Notamacropus eugenii: one gene and its partners. The protein of the gene in region 1 interacts with the protein of each later gene in a biochemical or structural test. Links are inferred from orthologs where the notes say so. Each region holds a gene or a part of one and is shown in the gene's direction. Other genes may lie near its edges. The genes, in order: RPTOR, RPS6KB1 and AKT1S1.

Evidence for each region.
Region 2: of the proteins of RPTOR (region 1) and RPS6KB1, one has a biochemical effect on the other in vitro, tested with the Homo sapiens proteins (6 studies listed by BioGRID and IntAct, with this or other methods). The link is inferred for Notamacropus eugenii from reciprocal best matches to the Homo sapiens genes RPTOR and RPS6KB1.
Region 3: the proteins of RPTOR (region 1) and AKT1S1 interact in a biophysical measurement, tested with the Homo sapiens proteins (2 studies listed by BioGRID and IntAct, with this or other methods). The link is inferred for Notamacropus eugenii from reciprocal best matches to the Homo sapiens genes RPTOR and AKT1S1.

What each region holds. Positions count from the first base shown.
Region 1 is NC_092873.1:323,391,983-323,399,379, forward strand, and holds the start of RPTOR (regulatory-associated protein of mTOR), read left to right. Parts: upstream 1-4,395; 5' UTR 4,396-5,214; coding exon 5,215-5,376; intron 5,377-7,397. UniProt on the Homo sapiens protein: Component of the mechanistic target of rapamycin complex 1 (mTORC1), an evolutionarily conserved central nutrient sensor that stimulates anabolic reactions and macromolecule biosynthesis to promote cellular biomass generation and growth.
Region 2 is NC_092873.1:372,682,491-372,690,362, forward strand, and holds the start of RPS6KB1 (ribosomal protein S6 kinase beta-1), read left to right. Parts: upstream 1-4,849; 5' UTR 4,850-4,938; coding exon 4,939-5,079; intron 5,080-7,872. Other genes in the region: TUBD1 (tubulin delta chain), read right to left, coding at 874-1,045. UniProt on the Homo sapiens protein: Serine/threonine-protein kinase that acts downstream of mTOR signaling in response to growth factors and nutrients to promote cell proliferation, cell growth and cell cycle progression.
Region 3 is NC_092876.1:12,094,085-12,101,352, forward strand, and holds the start of AKT1S1 (proline-rich AKT1 substrate 1), read left to right. Parts: upstream 1-4,264; 5' UTR 4,265-4,355; coding exon 4,356-4,537; intron 4,538-4,721; exon of another isoform or gene 4,722-4,851; intron 4,852-5,175; coding exon of another isoform or gene 5,176-5,301; exon of another isoform or gene 5,302-5,642; intron 5,643-5,716; coding exon 5,717-6,114; intron 6,115-6,217; coding exon 6,218-6,447; intron 6,448-6,572; coding exon 6,573-6,716; 3' UTR 6,717-7,268. Other genes in the region: TBC1D17 (TBC1 domain family member 17), read right to left, coding at 1-53, 228-344, 428-522, 691-794, 878-1,006, 1,142-1,303, 1,462-1,573, 1,678-1,885 and 4 more. UniProt on the Homo sapiens protein: Negative regulator of the mechanistic target of rapamycin complex 1 (mTORC1), an evolutionarily conserved central nutrient sensor that stimulates anabolic reactions and macromolecule biosynthesis to promote cellular biomass generation and growth.

The sequences.
Region 1 (7,397 bases):
TTAACCCTAATTGCTACCAAAAAGCTGAGAGACTAGCTTCATGGGTTATCTCTCTATAGAATATTACAAAAAAGAAACTATATTTTAATATAGAGGAAATGACTTGTCAGTGATGGGGAAATCATTTCCAAATCTTTGCATGCCAGACAACTGGCTTATTAAAGATAAAAATCAATATTCTATTAGAAGAAAGAATGTCCTTCCTCTCTTCTCTATAACAGAAGAAGCCATGGAGTGCAATTGAAACAAATCTAACTTAATTATTTAGGATTTTAATAAGGCTGACAAAAAATTCAAAATGTTCAAACCACTGATAGGTGGAAAAAGTGATGAATATAGCAAAGTAAGAAGTAAGGGAAATTGTCAAATAATTACCTGAGAGAACGTACTGGTTCACTGAGAAGCATTTCTATACATTTAAAGAACAAACACTATTTGGCAAATTATCCTTTCTAAGCTTTAGTTTTCCCATCTGTGACTACATGGTCTCTAAGGTCCCTTTGAACTATATAACATAAATTTTTCTAGAATACAGACCACAGTGGTGTGTGACCCAATTCTTCTTATGATACAAATATATTTTTTCTTTGAAAATCTGACAAAGATGAAGCCAGAAATGAAAGCCACATGCCAACTTCTCTTTTGAATTTAGTTGTAAAAATACTAAATTAAATCTTAGCAAAGAGTATAACACATTCAAAAATCTCCGCCATGAACAAATATGGTTTGTCCCTGGCATGCAAGGTTGTCACAGAACAAGAAAAGTTACTAGGACAATGTATCACATTAAAAAGAATATAAAAATACAGGAAAATCTGGAATCTTTAGGAATAAGTGGTGCTCCCTCTACTAACATGGATAGCAGTACTAATTCAATATTATCTAGAAAGTATTCCATAACGTTAAATCACTATAATAGACTAGAACCCTAAATAAACTGGATGTAGAAAAGCTAAGTTAGGTGCCCAGGGAAGAGATGCTGCCTCTGATTTTAGGTGATATCCCATAAGTACTAATTCCTTGGACTACAGCTATGGTATTAGCATTCCCAATATATAGAACTGTAACTCATGAGCCCCCATCAGCTTTCTTTTAACAGCTAATTAATAGACTGACAGCTAGGGGCAGGCAGGTGGTACAGTGAGTTTGGAGTCAAGAAGACCAGACTTCAAATACAGCCTCTGATAGTTATTGGCTGTGTAACCCTGGGCAAGTCACTTGCCCAGTTTCCTGATAATAATAGCATCTATCTCCCGGGGTTGTTATAAGAATCCAGTGAGATAATAATTGCAAAACACTTAGCAGAATGCCTAGAATGCTATAGTAAATGCTGTATGAATGTTGGCTGTTGTTATTATTATTAGAACCAATTAACTCTTAAGAAAGACATTAACTTACATGGCATAGTAAGGACAGAAGCTATAAAGCATTTCCCTGTGAACTTGGGATGTACTTACCCATGACTGCACACAATATTTGTGGTAAGAGTGGTCACAAGGCACATCTGTAAGGAACACATGGCCAAGGCACCTCACAACTCTGGAACTTTAGGGTCTCAATGTCCTTTCTCTCTTCTCTACAATAAAACAGTATCTCCATTTCCTCTCCTCTCATTGTTTTCTAAATCCTTTATAAAGTCTGACTTACAAACTCATCATTCAACTGAAACTGTCCTCTCCAAAGTTATAGATAATCACTTACTTCTCAAATCTAATGGCCTTTTCTCAGTCTTCATACTTCTTAACCTCTCTGCAACCTTTGACACTGCCAATCAACCTTTTTTGGTCACAGCTAGGTAGCACAATGGATAGAGCTCTGGACTTGGAATCAGGAAGAACCAAGTTCTATTACTGCCTCAAACATTAGCATTATTCAATCATGTCCTATTCTTTGTGACTCTATTTGGGGTTTTCTTGGCAAAGAATCTAGAGCAGTTTGCCATTTTCTTCTCCAGTTCATTTTACAGATGAAGAAATGGAGGCAAGCAATGTTAAATGACTTGCCCAGTCACACATCTAGTTAGTGTCTGAGACCAAATGACTTTTCCTAAGTCCAAGCCAAGCACTCTATCCACTGTACCATGTAAGGGCCCCAGACACTGGCTGTATGATGTAAAACTCTTTGCTAACTATATAGTGCTATGAGAATTCTCACTGTCCTGGATTCTCAATTTTCATACCACTATGGTTCTCCTTCTACCCTTTGGACTACTTCTTCTCCATCCCTTTTGTGCTATCTTCATTAAGGTCATACCCACCAAACTTAAGTGTTCCTCAAGGGTTTGTCCTGGTCCTTTTTCTCTTTCTATACTATTTTTCTTCGCAACATCATCTCTGAAGGATTTAGTTATCAACTCTATGATGATGACTCGAAGATCCATTTATTCAGTTCTAACTTTCTTCTCCAATAACCTTTCAATAACCTATTAGACCTCCCAACATGTCCAAAAACATAACTCATTATATACTTAAACTCTTCCCTCTCCTCCAACTTCCATATTAATTTTGAGGGCATTGCCATCTTCCCAAGTCATCCAGACTCTAAACTGACTTACCTGCACTTATTCACTTTGTTGTCAAATGTTGTCATTTTTGCTGTTCAGCTGTTTCAGTTATGTCTGACTCTTCATAACCCCATCTGGGGTTTTCTTGGTTTGCCATTTCCTTCTTCAATCCATTTGACAGATGAAGAAACTGAGGCAAAGGGGGTTAAGTCACTTGCCTTTGGTGCCTGAGGTAGGATTTGAATTCAGGTTTTCCTGACTCCAGGCCTAGAATTCTATCTTCTATGATACCCAAGCTGTCATTTCTACTTTCACACCATCTCTTATACTCATTCATCAGCTATTCTGGTGCAGAGCCTCATCACCTCATTTCATGCAGTGTTGCAACAGCTTTCTGAGCTGCTCCAGGTCTCTCCTACTCCAATCCATCCTCCTTTCAATTTCCAAAGTGATTTTCCTACAGGGCAAATCTGACCATGTTACTTCCTCCCCCCACATGTTCAGTCATTTTTGAGTCATATCCAATTGTTGGTGACCCATTTTGGGGTTTTCTTGGAAGAGACATTGGAGTGGTTTGCCATTTCCTTCTCCAGCTCATTTGACAGATGAAGAACACAGACAAATGGGGTTCAGTGACCTGCCCAAGGTCACACAGCTAGTACGTGTCTGAGGTCACATTTCAATTCAAAACCATGAAGCTTTCTGACTTCAAGCTCACCATTCTATCCTTAAAGGCAGGGCCTTCTTTTTTTCTTTTTCTTTTCTTTGTATCCTGTTCATGGGACCCTCTCCTCATACAATACATAATAAGTGCTTAATAAATGCTCCTAGATTTGATTGGAAAAGGAGAAATATGAGAGAGAATGGGGGATGAAGTTCAAGAGTTTTGAATTGTCAAAGGAGAGAAAACTTTCTCTCCTTGACAGCCGTCAAGTCCAAATTGAAGAGTGGCTTAGTGAAGGATTATTTTCTTGGTCTGATCACACTCTAAGTTGCTGGTCCTTTTATATGAAAATGAACCACTCTGGGGCTTCATAGTAATTACTTGAGGAGGGGAAGTTGGGATTAGACTGATAATACCATTCCTATTCATACCATTCCTCCTTCACTATAAACACACACACACATACATATACACACACTTATGTACACACAAAGATAAATATGCATACACATACATATATACATATGTGTGCATGTATGTGTGTATATATGGATATATACATGTATGTATGTATGCATGTGTGTGTGTGTGTGTATATATATATATATATATATATATATATATATATATATATATATATATATATATATATATATATATATATAAAGAAACTTGCCTCAGAAGGTGAAATAAATTGTTCCAGGGTTTGCAGACATCACAAGTAAGTCATCATAGAAACTTGTACTGATTTTCTTTCACCATGCTAGCCCCCCAAATAAAACTTTCACAAACAGTAGAATCCTTGAAAGAAGGTACCCCTGGTATCACCCAAGATCAAGAAAGAGCTATGACTTTAAGAGTGTTTTTTGTGAAAATTGGAGAAAGATGGTCATCATTAACTTTTCCATTTTACTTCACAGCAAATAATAAAAAAATCTCTCTCTCTCCCTTTCTCTCTCTCTCTCTCTCTCTCTCTCTCTCTCTCTCTCTCTCTCTCTCTCTCTCTCTCTCTCTCTCTCCCTCCTCCTCCATTTCCCCCCTCCCTTTCTCCAAAAGAAAAAATAAGAAAAGAGAAAAGAAAAAACACATCCCTTAATGCTACTCTACTTTTTCCTTCATCACTAAGGGGATGGGTGTCAGTAGCACTTTCCCTTTCTACTGCTTTGGCGGACAGCTCCAGGAATTTCCTCAGAAAGTTTGACCTTCTGGGGGCTCCGTAGATCGCTATGCATTGTGGGCCTTAGCAATATGGCGTCCCCCTTGGTGTGCTGATGAGCGGAGTTTCTCTCTCTGTCCCTGGACGACGAGGGGAAATTCCTCAAGTCAAACGATCTCTTTCTCCGTCGCCCAGGAGGGTCCTGTACCTGGCGTTTCCCCTCTCCCTGCCCTCAGGCCTAAGGGAGTGGCGGGGAGCCTTTGGGCGGGGACGAGCCAGGCCTCGGGAACCCAGGGTAGACCTGACGGAAGCCTCCCGCAGGCGGACACTATGGGCCGATCTTGGCTTCGGCTGCAGCAGCTCCGGAGAGTGCGGGGTCCGCAGGGCTGAGAAGCGCCCCGAGGAGGATCCCTGTCCCCCGTTCCCCGTCGCCTAGCCCCCTCTCGGATCTCCCACCCGCCTGACCGGCGGCCCGCAGGCAGCGACAGCTTGCGACCTTCCCGCCCGCCTCCTCGGGATCGACCGGAGGCCGGTCCGGCCCCGGTGGCCTGGAGCAGGGTCATCGGAGGTCCGAGGGCTCCCACGCTTTTGACAGCTCCATTCTCAGCCAGCTCGGGGCTCCATCCGACAGCCCACGAAGAAGTCGGTGTGGCCTGAAGCCCGGGGGCGTGGGCCCCTGGCCCTGGGGTTCTTGGCATTCCCACGCGGAGATAAGCCTCGGGAACTTGGCCAGCCCCCCGCTCCATACTGGGACGGCCTCGCCAGTGCTTCTCTTTTCCCCGCATCCACCCCTCGTTCCCATATTTCATCCTTTCTGGTGCCCACGACTCTCTAAGGCTGGAGGTTCTCGAGCGTTTGTTGCCCAGGACTCCCCCACCTCCTCCCACCCTCATGGAGTCCGAGATGCTGCAGTCGCCTCTTCTCGGGCTTGGGGAGGAGGACGAGTCCGACCTGACCGACTGGAACCTGCCTTTGACTTTCATGAAGAAGAGGCACTGCGAGAAGATCGAGGGCTCCAAGTCCTTGGCCCAGAGCTGGAGGATGAAGGACCGGGTAAATAACCGTCCTCTGCTTCCCCTTTAACTGTGGTAATTTTCCCTCCAGGGGGATCTCAGTCTAGTCCGGGTGAAGCCCGGGGCAGTATCTTGGGTGTTGTGCGGTCCTGTCTACCAGCCACATGTTGCATATCTTCTGCACCTAACAATCAAGTGGTACTTCTGCTCTAGTTTTGTTTTGTTTTTTTAAAAGAAAGACCAGCCTGAAAAACTTCAGGTGACTGATAAAGTTAGAATTAATGTAGAAAGAAACTTACTTTATTTATGGTTACCATTTTGTATACAGCTCAAGGAACATATTCCCTGCCATTCTGGCTTGGAGAAGAGTCGATTACAAACCACAAACTATTGCTTATAATTAGTGATTAGTCTACTTTTTAAACTTTTACTACTAATTAAAATGAAAAAAGTAAATAGTGTGTGGTAATCACGTGGGGCCACAAGTAAATCTAAGTTATGGAATATGGTCAGAACTACTGCCGGAGGTGGCAGCTGGTGAGATAAACTTTTGTTTTCAAGATAGATATGGATTGGACCTGTGATTTTATTGCTATAGGGAGCTCTTAGGTAAGAAAAATTCTCAACAGTAATAATGCAGGTCTACATCGTGCAACTTGCTCAGAGCACTGAGAGGTTAAGGGACTTGATCTAGTCAATATGTATCAGAGGTGGGTCTGGAACTCCTGTATTCTTGGGCTTCTCTATATACACCATTCTCATGGACCCTCTGTTTTCAAGACCCAATCAGTTTTAACATTCTAAGTAACTTGTCATAACCCCAAACTTTCCATATTTTACATGGCAGGAAATTGGAGAGAGGATTTCCAGTACAGTGAATTAGGTAATGTGGTGGATCGCCATTCCAGGCTATTGTTTCGGGAGGGAGAGAAGAAACTACTTGTGTTGGCAGTGACTTTGGGAGGCTTCCAGTGGGGAAGAAGATGGGTTAGCCAGGTAGTATTACTGTATCTGATATTCATATGCATTGCATATCCACATAACTTTCATCACAATAACCAAAGAAAATGAGTTGGACTACCAATTTCCCAGCTTCTTTTTCCATTCATTTAAATCCAATTTCACTAAAGGTGAAATCTTTAGTATTCCCTTAAAAATCACAACAAATAGGTATAAAATTACACAGGAAAATTTCTAATTTAGCCAGTCATTAGTATTTTTGGTATTTTGGTGACTTTTACTTGTAAAATGAATGGAGAAGATCTTTCATAAGCCAAAAAGTAAAGTATAAATGATAAGATCCTCAAGAATTGTGGACATCCTTTGGAGTTAATGTATGTCTTTGATGCTATTTAAAGGCTTTGTAGTTCTTGTGGTTGCTGTGAGCGTTTGAATAGCAATATTTTGTAAAACAAATCCATCCAATTTTTTAAGTATAATCTTGGTGCACCCTGCTTTTTTTCTAAAAAAGCATCACATCTTGTTTTTAATATGACAGAAAAGTCTTTCATAATGACTAGTTGTGAAATGTAGCTCTTGTTCTAAATCTGATGTTTCATCTGGCCAAAAGTGATGTGATTTCTTTTAACTTTGACTTTTTAAAACTAAAATTCTAAGTTGGGAAAGGCAAAACTCCTTAATAAGCTCCTTACAGAACACTGAGAAGAAAAATAAAAGTCCTGTAGTTCTGAATACCTTACTGAGAAGAATATTTTCATTGGCTGTGAAAATAGTCTACACTATCAGTTTGTAAATGACCTTTTGGAGTAATTTTAGAACCAACTATTATCTTTCCATTCAAAGATGCCTTGGGAAGTTGGGTCCATGGCTTCTCTCTGATGAGCCACTTGAGGGGATGTCACTTAAGAAACTTCCATTAGAGAGACGACCGTAAGCAATCACTATGGTTCCAGGCATACAAGCCAGACTATTCCATTGTTCTAGAAGGCATCTTTCTTCATGGTTAATTGAACATCATACTCATCCAAAAGTTCTACTAAGTACCTGATTTCACTGCTTCATCATCGGATCACAGATTTAGAGTTGGTACTGACCTTAGAG
Region 2 (7,872 bases), about 49 Mb from region 1:
CATAAAAATGGGAAAAAGACCCACATGTATAGCAGCTCTCTTTGTGGTGGCCAAGAACTGGAAATCAAGGGGATGCCCATCAACTGGGGAATGGCTGAAAAAGTTGTGGTTTATGAATGTAATAGAACACTATTGTGCTATAAGAAAAGATGAACAGAACTTCAGAAAAAGCTGGAAAGACTTATGTGAATTGATGCTGAGTGAAGTGAGCAGAGCCAGGAGAACATTATACACAGTTAACAGCCACAGTATACAAGGACTGTTTTTGATAGACTTAGCTCTTCTCAGCAATGCAAGGACCTAAATCATTTCCAAAGAACTCATGATGCAAAATGCCATCTACATTCAGAGAAAGAAGTATGGAGTCAGAATGCAGAATGGAGCGACTATTTTCTCCTTTGTTATGTTTTATTTTGTTTTTCTCATGGTTTCTCCTATTTGTTTTAATTCTTCTATGCAACAAGACTAAGGTGAAAATGTGTTTAATAGGAATGCATGTGTAGAACCCATATAAAATTGCATGCTATCTTGGGGAGGGAAGGGGAAGAAATTTGGAATTTATGGTAGTGATTGTTGAAAACTGAAAACAAATTAATAAGTATGGGGGAAAAAAAAGAAAACCAAACTTCCCAATTTTAAATAAAAATTTCTTTGGCAACATTTGTTGAGTATCCACTGTATACAAAGCAACAGGTATTTAAAAAAAAATTAAATTGGATACAAAGAGACTTATGGACATTTCTTTTTGCTTCCTGCTTAAACAGGCAATACTTTTATTTTCCATAATTGGTATTCTAGGGTCAATATTTGTTAAAAGGAAAAAAAAGAAACAATGCGTTGTTCTCAATGTTTATCGCCACCTTAATTACATACCTCCACTTTTCTCCTCATTAAAGAAATGTTCTTTGCAAGATGCCTGATATACTTCATTTTCCCTCTTAGAGCAGAATCCCTGGGTATTATTTAAGTCTCTACATATGGCATCAAATACTTCATAACCAATCTGATTGCCACACTGACCAAGCTGAATTGTGACTATTGACATGGCGACCAAACCTTTTCCTACAAAGAAAGTGAATAAAGCAGAATAGGAAACAATCATGTCTTTCAAAATAACTACAGATTATCATCAAGGGCAAATAAAAACACATACGCATACATCAGAAAGTAATCACACATTAAGCAACATTATATAACAGTAATAACATTCAGGCTTAGCTGAAGGGAAAAACAGAACTTCGAAATTCCTAGATTATCTCTGACAGTGAATTAAAAACAGCATCAGAAATGTATTTCTGTCCCTGAAAATTACTTCGCTTTAAAAAAAGTTATCTTCTCTTCATGAGATAGGATGGTATTGTATTGCAAATATGCTTTCTTTGCTATGGGAAACTCCCAAAAAAACGAAACGTTTCAATATGAGTGACCCCTGCCCTGCTACTTAAGAGTCTTTCAGGGGTAGTTGCCTGAGGCAAGGAAGGTTCAGAGACTGGCCTGGATTCATATATGGGATTTGAAGCCAAGTCTCCTGATTCCAGGGTTGGATCTCTAATCATGACTGTGGATCTCTAACCATACTGTTTCTCATCTTCCTTTCATAATTAAGATACATACATTGGGAGTTACTATCTGTAATGAGGGAGTAGGAATACGCTAACTACTGGGAAATGAGTGCAAGCAGAGTACAAGGCAGATGGAGAGAAGTTTGTTGGTGAAGGTATGTGGTTAGAAAAAATCTTGTTTTTGGTATGATCCACAAGGCCTCATGACAGGTAGTATTATTGTATCTTTGGTAGTATGGAAGCCTGTCGCACAGCAAGAGAAAGATGTAATATGTTCTGGTCTGGGGGTTGAGGCCTTCAGACAACCATAAGCAGGCCCACTTAACCACTGGGCAGTAACTATTGTTTTATGGCAGTTCCCCATGCAGTATGCATAGCAAGCTTGTGCTTATGTGTGTGTGTGAGAGAGAGACTGAGGTTTTTTAAAACAGCTTTTTCAGGTAAATATTTTATTTTCTCTCTTCCCTATCTTCTATCTACAAAAAGAAAAGAAAAACAACACCCTTGTAACAAATATCAGTGGTATCTGATGCAGGTATTTTTCCTACTCTGCTGCTTCTCTTCTGATTCTTTCTTCACTGATTTTATTTGTGCCACTGTTTTTGTTTTTTGCCAGTTTGATAAATGTGAACTGATAACTCCAAGTTTTTTTAATTTGTATATGTTTGATTACTAATGAGACTGAGCAATTTTCAGGTAATTTTTCTGCATATGACATGAAAATTAATGAAGACATCAAACTGGTTTAGCAAAGGTGCAAGATATCCACATTAAAGATCAAGAAAACATCATGAAAAAACACTTTATTTACAATAACAACAAAAATTGGCAAACATTTGGCAATTAAGCTACCTACGAATATGTATAATCTGTAAGAGGACAGCTATATTTCAATGATTCTAGTTTTACAGGAAGATGTAAATAATTAAATATCAGTGATAATAACCACCACAGTTGAGATGATTGCTTGGATTTTTTTTTTTACTGAAGACATCAAAAGATCAGATGTGCCTTCATCAGTATGAGTACTATGGATGAGATTGAAACCTCTTCACACATTAGAATATAACTGTATTGTTTTGTTTTGGTGACACAACCAGTCAGACCACTACTTCTCAGTATCCTTCAATGGCTCTTCTTCCAAGTCATGCCCATTCATATGGGGGTCCTCCAAACCTCTGTTCTCTTTCTCTCTATGTTCTCCCATGTGGTGAGCTTATTAACTGCCAATGGTTCCAGATTTCCAGTGGATGATTCCCATATCTATATATTTTGCCTTAGTCTCTCTCTTGAACTCCACTCCCATATCACCAAGTGCTTATTCATAATGAATGTTCCGCAGGTACTGCAAACTCAACATATTCAAAACAGAACTCATTATCTTTCCCTATAAACCCACACTTCTTTCAAACTTTCCTGTTACTGTCAAAGGCACCACCATCCTTCCTGTCACTTTGTTATAACAACAAGCTTGGTGTCATCCTTGACTCCTCATTCTAATCTACTACACATATCAAACTAGTTGCCAAATTTTGACGTTTGTGTCTCCATTGAAACTCTCAGAACATAATCTTTTAAGTATGCAGACACATTTAGAAAGTGAAAAACAAAAGGTGCGTATCAATAAAAACTGAGGCACCATAAAGAATTTTTGACAAGCCTTCCTTCCTTTATCTGGAACATCAGATTCTCTGTCAATTTTTCCTCAAAGCAATGATTTTGTTTTTGCCAGTAGCAGAATACCCTACAGTTAGAGTGAGAATATATGGAGACTTCACCATCCTTCCAAGCTTAGGTGCCCAGCACCTCTATTAGCCCTTACAAGAAAAGTTCAGTCACTCAGTTCAGGCATTTACCAAGTGCCTACTTTGAGCCAGGCTCTCTGCAAAGGTGGGGATATAAAGAAGAACCAAACCAAAACAAACAAATGCCCCCCCCCCCGCCCTTCTCATGGCACTCGGGGTTTGATGGGGAAGACAACATACAACCATGGACAAACTATATACATACACACACACGTGTGTATGTAAAACATATACACACACACATATACATACACACACGTGTATGTAAAACACACACACACACACACACATATATATATATACATGTAAAATTGGGGTAGTCTCAGAGGGAAGGAAGGCGGCACTGCCCAACGCAGAGGAAAAGAGCTGTCAGTAGGTTAGTTGGCATTCAAGGCACAACACAGAGAGTAGGGTCGAGCTTTTCTTTGCATCCCTAGCGCTTAGCATAGTGCCTAACTAAAAGCTCGTGGACTTCACCAGAACAAGGAAAAAAACGGAAATAAAAAAGGCGGCGGGCTGGTCACCCGGCAACAGCCTCTAGGGCTCTCCATGGGGATGTCAGGCTTATTAATGTGACTGGGCAGGCACGGACGGTGGGGATCGGCCCAGTCGGAGGGAGAAAACCCCATCTACGAGACCACTGGTTGGGAGGCCGGAGACTTCCAACCCCGGCCCCGTGGGGGTCCTGGACAAGACACACGCCCTTTGTGGGGCTCAGTTTCCTCACCGGTACGATCAGGGGGCTGGCCCTGCCGCCGCCGGGCTCCAAGGTCCCTTCCAGCTCTTACTACGCTCCTACAGTGCCAGGTTTCTCCGGAGGCCCGCGGCGAACGTCTCCGACGGACAGGGTAGCAGCAGGGACTTGGTTTCACTGCAGAGGAGCTCAAAGACCAGGGAAAAGGAAGGCCGTGAGGCCCGGAGAGGAGGGCGGAAACCGCCCAGCGAGGCCACCTCGGCGAAGGCCCCAGCTCGAGCGAATGAGAAAGGAAGACTCCCTCATCTCGGGCCTAGGCCCTCACTCACCGACGGCTCCGAGTCCAGCCGAGCTTTAGGGTCTCTGCCACTACCCCCAGAATAACGGCTCTCCACTCACGCATGCTCACTGTCACCAACTCATCCCTCCCCAAACATCCCTCCTGCGCATGTTCGATGTCCGCACTCGAGACTTCAGAAGGATAAGTGCGCATGTTCCGTTCTGCGAACCCTTCTCTCGATAGTTCTCCCTCCCCTTCTTCAGCTGGTCCAAAGTTATATGCAAGTTCTGAGTTCAGTTCATCAATTTCAGAAACGATACGCATGCGCACAGTTTATCAAGCGCTGTTGGAGCAAGAGATACACAAGTTTATACCCTCGGCTTCAGGTGAGGTTATGCGCATGTCTAAGCCTCTACTTCGCTCCCAGAACAAGAGCTAATTTTGCCCATTGCCCATAGTTCGGCTTCATGGGTAGTTCTGCGCATGTGCAAATGGGTGAGCTTGCGGTGTGAGCCTAGGGCCTGAGCGCAGTCGCACTGATACCCGGCAGCTGGTGATGGCGGCGGCAGCAGCGGCGGCTGCGGCGGGTCCGGGCCCATGAGGCGGCGGCGGCGGCGGGACGGATTTTACCCAGCGCCAGACTTCAGAGACGGGGAAGCTGAGGCCATGGCAGGAGTTTTTGACATCGACCTGGACCAGCCGGAGGACGCAGGCTCTGAGGATGAGCTGGAGGAAGGGGTGAGGCCCGGGGTCGGGGGCTGAGCCGAGCCAGGCTGGGCCGGCTGGGCCGGGCGGAGGTGACAGGGCCGGGGCGTAGGCTCGGGCCTAGGGAGCCGGGCCGTTCCAGCGACCTCGCCTGCGGCGAGAGCCAGAGGCTGGGGCCAGGACGCAGGCCAGCGGAGCGGGAGGGCGGCCGGCGGCCGAGCAGCGGGCTCCGCTGTGGAGTCGGGTGGCGCGGCAGGACCAATCCCGAGGTGGGGGCGGCTGCTGACGGGCGCAGGTGCACCAAGCTCCCGGCCACCACCCCCTCCCGACCCCGGGTCTCTGGTGGCGGGGGTGGCGCGAGCTTCAGGGTGACCCTGGAGCAGCGGGTCTGGGAGGCGGCCGCGGGGGAGCAGGGAGGGGTGCTTGGTGCGGGGAGCTCAAGCTGCTCCCCAGCCTGGGGTCCCCGCTCCTTGCGCTCGCCCCGGCGACTTGGCGCCTGCCAAGCGTCCGCTCAGCTGTTGGATGACAGCTGAAAAGTTCTGCGGGCTGGGCTTTGCGGCAGCAGCCGCCCTGGGAGGGTGACCTGCAGGATGCAGTTTCGGGGGGAGGGTTACGGGGTGATTCTTTAAAAGCTGTTTACAGTGTAAAACTGTGATGCCCCTCTTCCCGATTCTCCCTCCGCCCGCCAGACAAGAGGTTTGTGCGGTTTTCTGATTTGGGAGTTGAAAAAACGGTGCCGGCAGCTGTGATTTGGCTTCCCCCAAATAAGTTGCTTTACCTGGGACTTGTTAAGTTGATGGTTCCAGGGCCACCTTGCTGTATGGTAGGACTACTTTCTAGCTTACTTTAAGTAGAGCTTGTTTTTGTCTTTTATTGTTCCTTTTGCAATATTTCTTTTTCCAGGCCAGATTGTACTTAAGGATTATTTATTAATTTTTAAGGTGTTTTTTAGAGTTGGCGAATCTAAAATAATTTATTTCTCTGCTCATGAACATCATTGGTAAGGCATATATTTTTGTACTTCAAAAGATCTGTGATTTCATTTCATCTTTGTGGGTAACCCTCCCCCCCAAGATGATCCCTTCACAGGCTTCACACCTTAATAGATACCCTTTTTTCCCCCCTCCTGGCCTGTGATTTCACCATCAGTGTAGGGTACACCTTAGAGGAAACTGAAGAGGTTGCATCCTTGTCAGGTCTTAATATGTAGTGTTTTTGTTTGTTTTTGTTCTTATCTGTAATTGTATCAACCTGAGGGGGAACTCGTGAGGAATTGCCTACTGCTACTGCACATATAAAATGTATGGTTTGAATTTCCTGGAACTCTGAGAGGTTAAGCTAGTATGTGTCAGCTTGGGAAAATTTCTTGGCCAATTCTAGTATATAGTTTTGTGAGTTGATATGGCCAAAATAATTCATTACAGTCAGCGTTTTGATGATGAATTTTTCCAAGCTTAGACTGTTCCTATAAGAACATTTGTTAATAACAGTAATTAATGGCTAGTGTGTTACATGTGGTAGACACATATATGTATATATACACATGTATGTATATACATATATATACACATACATATACATATATACACTCGTTACTTTCAGGCTTGGTGAACGCTTTATCATCTCATTTTTTATTGGCCCTGTACTCCATCCTTTCTAGCTTGGTAAGACTTACCACTTCTAGAACCTAATATCACCACCACATCCTGATGAGACATCATCCTAGGTCTTTAGACATGAGATTTAAAAATATTAATGAGTTGGATATTGAAAGTTCTATTTTGCTTCTCATTTTCCTTTTAAATTTAAAAAAGAAAATTCAAATAGAATAGTAATCTGAAAGTTGAGTAATTTAGCAACACTTTGCTTGTGTTATTGGGATGTTATTTAACTGCCCAATTCCATCCTCATCCCCTCAAACAATAGTAACGTTTGCATATTATCAAACTGATAAATGTTAGGGTTAAAAGATGTCATATATATACATATATATGTAAAAACATACACACATATATTATAGATAATATTTATACACACATACATACATGTATATATTTATGTAAAAGACATGTATAAATAAAAGATACCGTTATGTATGTACATGCAATATATATTTATAGGAATACATTTTCTATATGAAGATCTTTGAGTATCTTAAAGGGAAGTTAAAACAGGAATGAATAATGCTGTTCTTTTCATGATCATCTTTACCCTCTAAATCTACCACTTCTCCCAACTTCTTTATTTTTCTTTAGTATCATGCTCCTAGTTTTGTAACTCAAAAAGTAATCTTGACTCCCTTGTTCCCCAGATCCACTTAGTTTACGTAAACTTCATAACATCTCTCCCATCAGTTCCCTTCTCTTTGCTCACAGACTGCACCCTAGATCAATTCTGAATCTTTTCTTTCATGATTATTATAATGATCTCTTAATTGATCAGTACTTTTATTTTCCACCCTCTCCAATCTGTCTTTTCACTGACTTGCTAAAATACTCTTCTTGAGGCACTGATCTGATCATGTTATTCCTCTGCTTAAAAAGCAACTGTTTCCTTGTTGCCTCTACAAGAGAACAAACCCCTCCACCAAGCTTTTGAAAGCTCTTTAGCTCCAAACTGCCTTTTCATACTTATTTCTACAACTTTCCCTTCAGGCAGGCTACTCACTGTTGCCTGAGCTCTCCAGCTTCTTTGTATTTGCATAAGCCTGCCTTGGTTCTAGGAAGGCCCTTCACTCCTTAATAGCTCAGCTCAGATGAAGTTCCTCCCCCTATTTTCTCCTGCCCCCCAGCTAGTAATTCTCTGTTTGTCTTTCCTTGGATTTAT
Region 3 (7,268 bases), on another chromosome or scaffold:
TTGTGTGACATAGAGGATGGGAGAGAGAAGATCGCTCATGCCCTGGACGTAACCTAGGAGCATGGACAAGGGGTAGGATGTGAGCTGCTGATGGATACCACAAGTTCCCTTACTTCCTGTGTGCCCAAAGTCTGCCATTTGGGGAGTTCTTGATGGATCATCTTCCACCCAGGCTTTTGTACCACCAGCTCCCACCCATCCCACAGAGATGCCCATCCCGCTCTCACCGAGGTCAAAGTGATACATGCAGTAGGTGAGGAGAATGTCATTCAGCAGGCCCAGGCCTGGACTCCCAGGTCCCTCGTAGAACTTGTTGCTGCGGTCAGTACGGCTCACGTCGCGCTCTTCAGGAAAGGGAAACAGAAACTCAGGTTGGAGCAACCCTTACCTCAGGTCATCCCCATTGACCCATGTGTACAGCACTGACCAATGAGGCTGCGATAGCCATGAAGCAACGAGTTCCTCCTCTCCTGCTCAGGGCTCACTGACTTCCACTGCAGCTTCATACGGAAATACTCATCCCTGATGCCACCGGGAAAGGGGTTAGGAAGAGGGGAAGAGGTCAGCAGCAGACCACCATCACAATCAGGCCTTGTCCCCCAGCCACCAACAACTGGAAGTCTCTCAAGGCCAGGGCTCCGGGACAGGGCTCTCTTGGATGACTTGGGGTCAGAGGGCTCTTTCACTCACGTTTTCTTATAGATGTGGACCTTGTGCTCCTCAGTTGAGCCCTCCCAGTTGAGATAACCAAGAAGAAACTTCCAGGCCTCCCTCCTCAAAGAGGGGCACAAACCCTAAGAAGATACAAAGTGGTCACACAAATGGCTGCATTGCCATCCCCTTCCCTCATTCCCTGCAGGCACCCTAGCCCACTCACCCCTGCAAAGATCTGAGCCTTGAGCTCCCCAACATTCTGAAGGCGCCCATCTGGGCCCACGTGGCTGGCCCATATGTCCTCTGTCACCGGCTGTCCCCGGGAAACCACAGGCCGGGGCCCCAGCTGCACCTGCACTGACCCCACATGGGGAGAGATGGTGATCTGAAGCCATGATTCACCCCCCTACCTCCTCTCAGGACATCCAGAGCTACTCAGAGACCATCCACCCTGGGTCACACCTGACTTTGACCCTCAGGTACTCACACAGGAGATGACCTCAAAGCCAGGCTCTGGCTCCTCATCCTCAAGGGCCTCAGGACAGCGGGCAGGGGGGCCATCAGGGGGAGGCTGAAGGGCTCCTCGAAAAAAGTTGGTCACCCGTGAGAAACCACCAAAGGTGGCTGCATAAGGATCCTGGAGAAAACGCTGAAGAAAGGATAAAAGAGGGAAGGTGATAGTGTGCCTCCCTCCCACTCCCCTCAATACAGACCCCCTCTCTTCCTACCCCAGGGAATGCTCTTCCCTCCTCCCTGTTTCGCCCAGGCCCAGGGGGGCCCCCTCCAGCCTTCAGACCAGAGACTCACAGACACCACATTGGAACTGTCGTCATCAAAGAGCTGAAGATGATGGAAAGAGTGGGAGAGAGCAGAAGAGTCGTGAGGGAAGACGAGGTAGAGGCGCGAATCCTGGGGAGAGCTGGGGCCCAGCAGAGAAAAAAAGGAAAGATGAAGGATGGGTACACGTTGGGGGTGGGGGGCTGAGGAGAGGTGGGACACAAGGGGCACCTGGTGCCAACTGACCTGGCCAGCAGCAGGTATCGGCTGAGGACCCGCAGCAGGGCCCGCGTGCCCCCCCGGTGGAAGTGGAGAGCTGGCAGGGAGCCGCCCGCCTGGGTCACCAGCACCAGATAGGCCCAGCCTAGGCCTGGCTTGGAGCGCCGTATCGACTTCAGTTCCCCCAGGCTCACTGAGAAGGCCCAGGGACCCCGGGAGCTGCCCGACCCTGCAGCTGGAGGGAGGGAGCAAGAGGCTCTCACCCATCTCTCCTTCCTCTATGACTCCTGGAGGGCCTCCTGCCCTCTCCTACCTGGCACGGTCCGATTTCTAGAAAGGACTATCTGTACCTTCTGCCTCTATTTCCTTACCACCAATGCTTTCCAAACTTTTACAATATTGCTTTTGCCCCCAAACCCTGGCTGAAAACACTCTACCCCCTTGCAGGTGGTCAATGGTCCCCTAATTGCCAAGTCTGGAGCCACCACCCCACCACCACCATCATCACTAATGCTTTGCCGCCATCCTCCCTTTCTGTTCTTTCATTAATCGCTCTGCTTCCTCCATGCCCTTCACATGGTCATTCCCCTACTTTGGGGACTGCTGTTCAGACAGAATCTCCCCCACCCGTGATCCTATCCCCAAACAGAGACCTAGGCTGTCTGGTCCTGCCCCGCGTGGTGATCTTGCCACTTGCCTCAGGAACTAGGACTCTTTTCCACTTCTCTCACCCCTAGCCTCTGAAACCCAGCTCAAGCCCTCCAATCCAGAACGCTTTCCTTATATATCTTCTCCCATCTCTGTTCTCAATGTCCTTGGGTCAGGGCCCAAGTCCAGGCCATTCCCCACCCTAGGTCCTATCGGGCTAGGGACTAATGGACTTACCTGGGTCAGGTTCAGGGGGCCGGGGCCGGGACCGCACAGTGCTGATCACAGCCCAATCGGGTTCATAGCCAGGGTCAAAGGTAGGTTCTTCCTCTGATGGACAGGGGTCTCCCCCACTAGGCTCCTGAGGGAAAATGAAATAGTAAAATCTTGGATCCTGGGTCTGCCCTAGCATTTATAGAACCCACCCCTGGAACAAGGTGACCCAACCCTATTACACCAATGGGTAAAAATGGGACCAAAAAGTCAAAACCCCAAACATCAATTTGAGTCCAGATTTTCTGACCCTGTCACCGTGGGTTTGACAAGTAGACACTGAGCCCCCTAAAGGGGAACAGACTGATCTGAGACAGCACAAGGGGGTGGGGCCCTGAACATACCCTGGAGGAGAGGGGATATCTGAATTTGTGAAGGCTGCATATATCCTGGGGAGGGGCCCCTAGACATGCCCTGAGATAACAGAGACCTAGATGTATGGGAGGCCCTGAAAACTCCTGGGGAGGGAGCCCCAAATGCACAGCAGAGACCTAGATATACGGGGGGCCCCACATATTCCCAGAGGAAAGGGGCGATCCAACTGTGTGAGGGGAGGTGCACGCCAACACACCCCGAGATAGGATGGGAGGGTCGTGGGGAAAGGGAGACTGAACACGCGGGTGGGGGGCCAGAACTTTCCAGCCTGATTTGGGGGGCACGCCCCCCAGACACGGAGGGGGAGGAGAAACCGAACACATCGAGACCCCAGGAAGAAGACCCTGGGGGGGCGGGGTGCCCACCTTCCTAGAGAAAACCACGTGGGAGGAGTCTCCGGCCTCTTCCACTGGGGCCCAATGCAGGATGACGTCATTGTCCTGGGGGGAGGGAAGGACAAAGAGAAGAAATGGGAGACCCAGGGCTGCCCCGCCCAGCTAGCCCGAGGCCGCCCCCACGGCCCAAGCCACGCCCACTTGCTGGGAACCCACCTTCTCGAGCAGGCGCAGTACGCCAGCGATGAGCGAGCCCGGGTCCTGGTGCCGCCCCCTGGCGCTCGTGTGCAGGTATACTCCGCCCTTCTCGAAAACCACCTACAGGTGGGGATGAGGCTGAGGCTCAGCAGGAGCCTGCACACGTGCACAGAAGCGGGCAAAAGGGGGAGGCGGGTGCCCGGGGGCGGGTGGGTAGCATGCGCACAGCCAGAAGTGAGGAAGCAGTTCCGCCCAAGGGCGGTACCTGAGCAGGGGCGCATGCGCAGAAAGATCAGCGCAGCTGACGCTTTACCGAGGATTCGAGGCCGAGGGAGACGCGTGCGCTAAGAGATCGGGGGCCAGAAGGGTAGTGGGGAAGGGTCAGAGAAGGGCAGGACCCAGGTTCCTAAAGGACGGAAGGAAAGGTCAAACAGGAGGCCTCTTAGGTTCTCCGCCACCTCTTACCCGGTAGCCAGCTTCCTCCATAGTCGCAGCTGGGGCCGAGGCCACACCCCTAGCTCGCTCCGCCTCCGGAGACAAATTCCTTACGTCACATCCGGCGGGACGAACCTCCCCTCGATGGGAGTAAAATGGTAGCGTCCGCTTGTTCCTTCGGCCGTCAGCGGATCAAACCACTAATAGAAGAGGGAGAAGAGTAACAAATGCGTTCTGCGCAGATGCAATGGGGGGGGCGGTGCTGAGACTGGGCAGTGCGCCGGCGCGTCATGCGGGCTCCCAGCAAGAAGTAAACAAAGACGGAAGTTGCCAAGCCTCGCCCCACCGCGAGAGCCCCACCTTTTCCGCCTGGATTTTTAGGGATGCCGCAGCGGTGCTGCCATCGTTCAAAGAAGCGAGCTGCGCAGCGCTGTGAGCGCCATGTTAGTGCGGGGCATACCACTTCCGTGCAAGGAAGTGGGGGGAGGAAGGGAAGCGGAGCGGGAGTCACCCGGAGGAAGGCAGCGGCCGGGGCCGTGGTGTCGCGGGCCCCCGGGGCGAGGACGTGGTTGTACCTGGCCATGCTCGCGGGCAGGAGGCGGAGCGGCCCCCTCAGGGATAAGGTCTGTGGCGGAAGCGCCATGGACCTCGGCAAGGGGCGGGGCGTGAAGCCGCGCGGCCGCCATGATGTTTAAGGGCAGGTCAGGTGGGCCCCTCCTTGCAGAACGAGGGTAGGCTGCAGAGACGCGCCGACCGCGAGTCGCGAGCGCTTCGGCGAGGCTGGCGCCGGGCGGAAATGACGCCGAGGCCGCCATGCCCTGTGAGGGCGCCAGGCCCGCCATGCTGGCCGCAAGCACGTGAGCGGCTGCGGCGCGGACGCCTGGGGAGGACCGAAGGCTGGCGGGGAGGGAGGCAGGGAGACAGGAGCCCGGCCGAGGTAAGCGAGCTGACAGCGCAGCCATCCTCGCGTGGAGAGAGGGGGCCGAGGCCCCGCGCTCACTCCAGAACTTCTCCGATCCAAGCCCGTAACCTATGTCGGGATGATGGGGGAGCGGAGGGGGGTGGTCTGGGGTCCGGCTCCTGGCGTGCCCCCTCCCACGCAAGGGCGGGACTTCCGGTTTCAGCCTTCTCTTCGAGAAGGCGGCTTTCGACGTTAGCTTTCCCAACCCCTGGGAGGCGGGACATCCGTTTTCCTCTTTGGGGAGTGGGGAGGCGGGGCGAAGGGGGAGGAGGGGTGATTTCCTCTTTCCTCTCCCCACAGGGTTGGGGCTACTTCGTACCTCGGAACTCCTTGCCCCGCCCACAAGGGGCAGGACTTCCTGTTTTCCCACGTGGAGGGCGGAGCTGAGCAACTGTTCCATGCCCAAACTGGGGGAACTGGTGGCAGGTGTGGAGGGGATCCTCTCTTAGGTGGAAACCTGGATGCAATTCCGGACTCTGCGGCCTTTTCCCTCCTCCCATTAATCCCCCTGGATTATCCCTGCCCCCAGATCCCTCCCCTCGGGCGTTCTATGTCACCGGCCCTAGAACCGGCGTGAGACCTACCGCTTTGTAACCTCGGTTGCTCCCCCCATGGCGGTGTCTGTCGGGACTTCTGTACAAGCCTCTGCAGAGACAGGGTGACGGCCCGGCCAGGGTCTTCTCTGGGCTTTTGGGGCCTTTTCTGTCAAAGAAGGGCATTGCACTAAACAGCCTCTTCAAGCTTTTTCAGTCCCCTTCTCTGTTAAGGTGTGTGTAAGTGTGTGAGTGGGGGGGCCACTATGCGCGGCTTCCACCTGAGTCACTCTCTTTTCTCTCACCAGGGCGTGGATGGCATCTGGGCGTCCTGAGGAGCTATGGGAAGCCGTGGTGGGGGCAGCAGAGCGTTTTCGGGCACAGACAGGTACGGAGCTGGTGCTGCTGACAGCTGCACCCCCGCCCCCACCACGGCCAGGCCCCTGTGCCTACGCAGCCCATGGCCGGGGCGCCCTGGCAGAAGCTGCCAGGCGCTGCTTACATGACATAGCACAGGCCCACCGGGCCGCGGCTGCCAGGCCCCCTGCACCACGCCCTGCACCGGAGCCCCAGGCCCCTAGCCCAAGGAGCTCTCCCCATCCTCGGAGGCAAGAAGACAAGAAGGAGCAGGAGGACGGCAATGAGGACGAGGAGGAGACAGAAACAGAGACTTCAGGGAGCAGGCTAGGACTGGGAGATGACGGAGGTAAGAAGGAGCCAGAAGGAGGGAGTGGGTGCAGAGGGAAGCTCTGCCGGATGGAAGCCTGGGAGGTCAGAACTGGGAACCAAGACCCCCCACCCTCCTTCAGGCCTCTTTGTGATGGACGAAGACACTGCCCACGAGGACTTGCCCCCATTCTGTGAATCTGACCCTGAGAGCACCGATGACGGGAGCCTGAGCGAAGAGGCACCAGCCGGCCCTCCGTGTGTGAGCCAGGTCCCCCAGCAGTATGCCAAGTCCCTGCCGGTTTCCGTGCCAGTATGGGGCTTCAAGGACAAGAGAACGGAGACCAGGTCTTCGGATGAGGAGAACGGGCCCGTGAGTGACGGTGGACATGGTGGGGGGTGGGGGGTGGGGGGTGGGGGGTGGGGGGTGGGGGCGGTTCGATCTGCAGGGAGGGGACCCTGAGTAGCCCTGGCTGACCAGCTGCCCCCTGCCCACAGCCCTCCTCCCCGGACCTTGAGCGCATTGCGGCCAGCATGCAGGCCCTGGTTCTGCGCGAGGCCGAAGGCTCCCAGGTGTTCGGAGACCTACCCCGGCCCCGCCTCAACACCAGTGACTTTCAGAAGCTCAAGCGGAAATATTGAGGGGGGGCGCCTGTCTGCGCCTCCCCTTTCGCCTATCCTTTTTCTTCCTTCTTCCCCCACCCCCATTCCCTGCCCTCTGGCCCCGCCCCTGGCACGTCCAGACCTGGCCAATCCCGGATCCGTTCTTTGCCCCACCCTCCCTTTCTCTGGGGCTCCGTTTTTCTTGCTCTTCCCGTGCGTTGGGGGAGGGTAATGGAAGTATCCAATCGACTCCCCGAGTTTCCTCTTAATTCCACTCCTCCACAGGCCCTGGCCAATCCCAGGCTCTTTTCCCGGAGCATCCTTTAGGGGAGGGTGCGGGGGCATCCAATCAGCTCCTCGTATGGCCCTTGTGTTGTCCCCTTGGCCAACCGCAGCCTTAGTTCTTTTGGGTCCTCCCCTTTAAGGAGGATCCAATCAATGCCTGAACTGCCAGTGGCTCCCGCTGTTCGGGGAAAGACTTTACTACGGAGAAGCCCCTATTCTCGACACTACAGCCGCCCTGTTCTGGTTCCGCCCCACCTCAGGGATGGCCCAGTTGCATTAGTCCCTATCCGATGACGCTACCCACCC